Linked DNA regions of Kluyveromyces lactis. The main gene of each other region encodes a partner of the protein of the gene in region 2 in a complex. Links are inferred from orthologs where the notes say so. Each region holds a gene or a part of one and is shown on either strand. Other genes may lie near its edges. The genes, in order: ARC15 and ARC19.

Region 1 (2,456 bases), on a different chromosome or scaffold from region 2:
TTCTTTTTTATTATTTGTATCTTCTTCTTTTGTTACCGCTGTTTCCGTTGTCTCAGCAGTTTCAATATTTTTAGGTCTCTCTACGGAATTGGCCTCTTCATTTGCTGTATCATTCTCTGTTATGAACTTATCAGTCTCTTCTGAAGGTTTTGCTTCATCTTTATCATTGAGTTTGACCTTCTTCACAGGAGTTTCTGTGCTTTCTAATTCCGAATTCACCTCAGGAAGCGCACGTTTATTGCTATCGTTTAAAGTTTCTGGCATTGTGAAAAGCAGGAACAATATACTGGAGCCTTCTTGACAATATTATAACCCTTTCTTGGCATATGTCTGTGCTTTCAATAAGAACTGAATGTTTAAAACTAGTACTTTCTCTTTTTTTTTTTTTTGGAAATACTAACTCTGAGAGGTCCCAGTAATACTTAATAAAGGGCCTGCACTCCATGTGAACAAAGGCCAAACAAACAAAGATCCGTAATGATCGCCCATTGGTAGGTGAAACTGGATCATATACGTTAGAGTAAATATATCATACTAAATTAAGTAAAATCGTACTGTTATATAGTTCTTTATACAGTTCTTCTATCCGAGAGATAGTGAACGATTGGATTGACACCCGCAACTTGCGTTAACTTTTCGAACCATGCGAGAAGGATACCCCCATGCTTTTGACCCTCAGGTATAGACATACCCTTGTATAGGTATTTTATCAATGCGTCTTGTTGCTTGCGATCCAAGCGCTTAACTATATTAGCAATATCCACTTGTCTCACTTGGGTTAGCACCTCCAATATACCAGAGAAATATTGTGATTTCGCTTGTTCGTCGGCGTTGTATGGAGGATCAGTTGTGAATAGCTCAACAGCAGCTGCAAAATCACCAGATGATGTGTAAGAACGTAACTGTTGAATGGTTGGCTGTAACTCTTGTAAACTCACGGTATGTGAATATGGTGGTTTCAAATCATCCGCCGTTAATCTCCCACTTTCAGGATCGTAAGCATCGATATCAATTCTTCTCCAGTCTTCCATATTACTAGTTCAGAAGGCAGCTGCTTGGATGAATACGATAAGGATAATTCAGCGCTAATGCTTCCTGATAAAAGAAGTAGACCGGCCTGCAGTTATTTCGAGTATTTTAACCTAATCCATTTAAAGGTTTCCATTCAATATGAATCCCATTCAATAGTAACTTATAGGAGATATCCGGGTAATAAATCTGGAAACAGGGTAACTATGGTTTACAGCACTGGACCGATTGACTGTTTATCACTGACAGGAAGAACGATAAGCAGATGATAACATTATCTTCTTATACATATATATTAACTAAGTTCAAATTGATATAGATATACGGGTTATTCTTTGGTGGTTCCGTTTATTGAATAATCTTATTGTCTGGAATACCGTCGTATTCACCGTAACTCAAGGCCAGGTTGATGTTCTGTAAGCATTGAGTGGCAGCACCCTTCAATAAGTTGTCAATAGTAGCACAGACTACGACACGGTCTTTTGCATCATTTACCTTGAAACCACCAACAACTACTCCGTGAGTACCAGAAACGTCCTTAACTAACGGAATATCATCGGCAACATGTACCAACTTTTCGTTAGCGTAGAATTCGGTGTACAAGGCCTTAATTTGTTCTGAAGATAGTGAGTTCTTCTTAATAGGAATAGAAATAGTATGAGAAATACCTTGGAACCATTGGGCAACATGAGGAACAAATGCGACTTCCAAACCCAAACGAGTTGAAATTTCACGCTCATGGATATGGTTTGTTAAGGAGTAAGGAATTAGATTGTTGTTCAAGAATTTTGGATCATTCTTTGGAGATGGTGTAGTACCAGCACCAGAATAACCAGAAACACCAAAGACTGTGGGTAATCCTGTGATGTATTCCGATAGAGGAGCAATCGCTACTTGGGCACCGGTGGCGTAACAACCGGGGTTAGCAATCTTTTTAGCATTGGCAATTGCTTCTCTGTTGTTTAACTCTGGTAATCCGTAGCTCCATTCCGTCTCCGGGACAAATCTATGATCAGCGGATAGATCGACAATTTTGGATTTACCGTTGGCAACCGACTCAATGGCCTCAACGAATGGTTCGCACACTTTGTTTGGCAACGCCATGACCCACACATCGACAGCACCTTCACTTTCTAGTTTCTTTATGTCATCAATTTGTAGATTCGAATAAATAATCTCAGACTTGTTATATCCTTCCAACTTCTTACCAGCGTTTTGACGAGAGGAGACGTGAGATAATTCCAAAAATGGATGTGAGTCTATCAATGAAATAAGATTTTGACCTGTGTAACCTCTGGCACCAATCAAAGCAACTTTAGCAGGGCTCTTGTTAGTGCCTTCTACTTTAGGAGCAGATCTGGCCCTAGTGGAGTAAGATCTGGATGATTGACCACTGGAAAATACACCACTGGAGGAACCAGAGAAGG
Region 2 (2,628 bases):
CTCTTATCTTGCTGCTGTGGCTGAGACTGTATTTTATCCGGACTACTATTATTACCGTTAGTCAGATTATTCAGAATACTCGTATAATCATCATTGAAATTCAACATGGAGTTATTATGATTTTTAAACCCACCAATATTATCACGTTCTTCATTCTCTTCACGCGCATTATCATTATCATCATCGCCATTATCAACTACAGCATTTAAGTTACCGCCATTACCACTAGTAGTATTGGTACCCGAAACCTTATTCTTCAAGTTAATGTTTCTTGGAGAGCTCGACGCAGACGCCGAACCTGCTTCAACTGAAGTGGTCTCCTTACCAGTTCTAATACTGTTCCCAGCGTCCTCAGGGTTCCCTGTACCAGAATCCACATCTTCAGAAGAATCGGCCTTCCAGAGAGAGTCACCACCATTAACGGATGCTGCGCTTCCACTCATCGCGCTCTTTGATAAACCTGTCGAAACCTTGATATACAAAAGCAAAGAGAATAGTAAAGACAGACTCTATCTCAAACGCTTTACACCACAAAATCCTTCAGTACAAGAGACTTGCACCCTAAAACTACCGAATCTAGTCACTTGAAGCAGCCAAATACGCGTCCAAGGTCCCTAAATCACCGTCCGATGCGTTATCAACAAACAAACGTTTATCTTTTCCTCAGTACGTTTCCATTTATTAACCTTCTTTGTTGGTTTCGAAAAATCTCATATAGCCGGGTAACAAACCAATGGAACTAGGAACGGTTCACGTGATCATAATACTTTGTTTAACTATACATGGACTATACATCTATATATCCACGAGAGTTGGCAATCTAGTAGACGAATTGTTCCAAGTACGCTTCTGCTGCGAATCTAGCTCTGGCGTTCAAGAACAATTTCATTTCAGAGATTTCTTTGTCGACCTCTTCCATGAAGTCGATGATGAATTCGATCAATTTCTCGGTAATCATAGTCTCGGTGTGTTTATTTGTGATCAAGAAAGAGATACTATACCCAGGCACTGGGACACGTCTTAGCACGTAAAAATTCTCTGCTCTTTGTTCGAGGAAACTGGTGAATTTGTGTACCAAAATTTGTTCAATCTCATCTGCTTGTTTCACTTTAATACTCATACGGACGGAGTTGACACTTGGTTCGATTAGAACTTGTTCGTGTTCATTACGTGCGATATGCATAGGTTGTAATAGAAGTTCTGCACTTGTATTGTCCACTTCGACCTCAGGTCTGTTGTGTCTTTCCACTTCTTGAGAGGAGAAGTTTGATAGATTCAAAGCAGCTTGCAATGAGTAACGCACTGCTGTTAAGTATGGACGTAGCGATTGAGACATTTTTCCTTCACTTATTAACTGATGGGTTGGAGAACTGCAGCTTTTACGGTGACAATGGCCAAAAGATGGGGTTGCAAACCTGTCTTTATTCAACGTTATCGGTTGTGATTTGGTTCAAATAGGGTCAAAAGAATTAATTCTGAATGAAATTTCAGCACATTAACTGGACCAATGTAAGAAAGAAGACACGGAAAACTAGAAATTGCTGGGTCAAATGAGGCCATTGGATGCCAAAAACTGTGGAAATGATGGAAGGGAATCATCAGGCTTATTTTGTCCTAAGTTTCAGGTCTGATGGAGGCATTGATCCCACGTTATAGCATTCTTACCACAGCTTAATACAATCAGGGTAACAAGGTTTATGATCTAATATTATGAATTGAAATCTCAATCCAAATGATTTAAACTGTGTTAGCGATGGGATGAGGGGATGAGACGACCATCAGTTATCCAAGTGTCTAGATAGCAATTCTCCAGCCAGAAACATTTTAATTTCAAATGTCCTGGCAAGAGACCAAAGATCCTCAAGGAAGAGTCTATTATTATAATGATACAGGACAGACCACTTGGGAAAAACCAGAAGAGCTATTCACCGAGTTTGAAAGGAAGCTGCTGAAATATGGTTGGAAAACTGCTCTTGCAGAGGATGGTAGGGTTTATTATTACAAGTCAGACACAGGAGAGACTACGTGGAACGTGCCGGTTTTTGAGAACGATGATAACCGTGATGAGAGAAGTATACCAACCAAATCGTCTGGCAAAGCTGGGCAACCGGATACTGCATCGGCAGCTGACACCAACTCTACACAGGTAGAAAGTGGAAAAGATGTAGATGTACAAAAAATCTTGAAAGATAGCGAGAACAAATACAAAAACGAATCAGAACTTTTGGTTGTACGAAAGGCTCCATCAAAGGAAGAAGCCGAGAAGGTGTTTTTGCAAATGTTACAAGATAACGAAGTGGATTCTACATGGTCGTTCAATAGGATTATTCGCGAAATTGGGAACAAAGATCCGCATTATTGGATCATAGATGATGACCCATTGTGGAAACAATCAATGTTTGACAAGTTCTTGTCGAACAGAACAGAATCGGAGTTGATTAAAGAGCATCAACATTTGGAAAAATTCGAACAGGCCTTTATAGAAATGCTTGAGAAATTGCCCAACATTCGTTACTATTCGCGTTGGAAAACTATCAAGAGGCAGATAATGAATGAACCTATTTACAAGCATTCTGTCATTGATGAGAAACAGAAAAAGCGTACGTTCCAAAGGTACATATCTTCATT

The links.
Region 1: ARC19 (region 2) and ARC15 share a complex: the UniProt entries of both Saccharomyces cerevisiae proteins name them as parts of the arp2/3 complex. The link is inferred for Kluyveromyces lactis from reciprocal best matches to the Saccharomyces cerevisiae genes ARC19 and ARC15.

The regions. Positions count from the first base shown.
Region 1 is NC_006039.1:699,644-702,099, forward strand, and holds ARC15 (Arc15p), read right to left. Parts: upstream 1,032-2,456; coding exon 570-1,031; downstream 1-569. Other genes in the region: YRB2 (Yrb2p), read right to left, coding at 1-264; ARG56 (bifunctional acetylglutamate kinase/N-acetyl-gamma-glutamyl-phosphate reductase), read right to left, coding at 1,378-2,456. UniProt on the Saccharomyces cerevisiae protein: Functions as a component of the Arp2/3 complex which is involved in regulation of actin polymerization and together with an activating nucleation-promoting factor (NPF) mediates the formation of branched actin networks.
Region 2 is NC_006041.1:1,625,259-1,627,886, forward strand, and holds ARC19 (Arc19p), read right to left. Parts: upstream 1,337-2,628; coding exon 821-1,336; downstream 1-820. Other genes in the region: DAL81 (Dal81p), read right to left, coding at 1-443; snoRNA-splicing protein PRP40, read left to right, coding at 1,835-2,628. UniProt on the Saccharomyces cerevisiae protein: Functions as actin-binding component of the Arp2/3 complex which is involved in regulation of actin polymerization and together with an activating nucleation-promoting factor (NPF) mediates the formation of branched actin networks.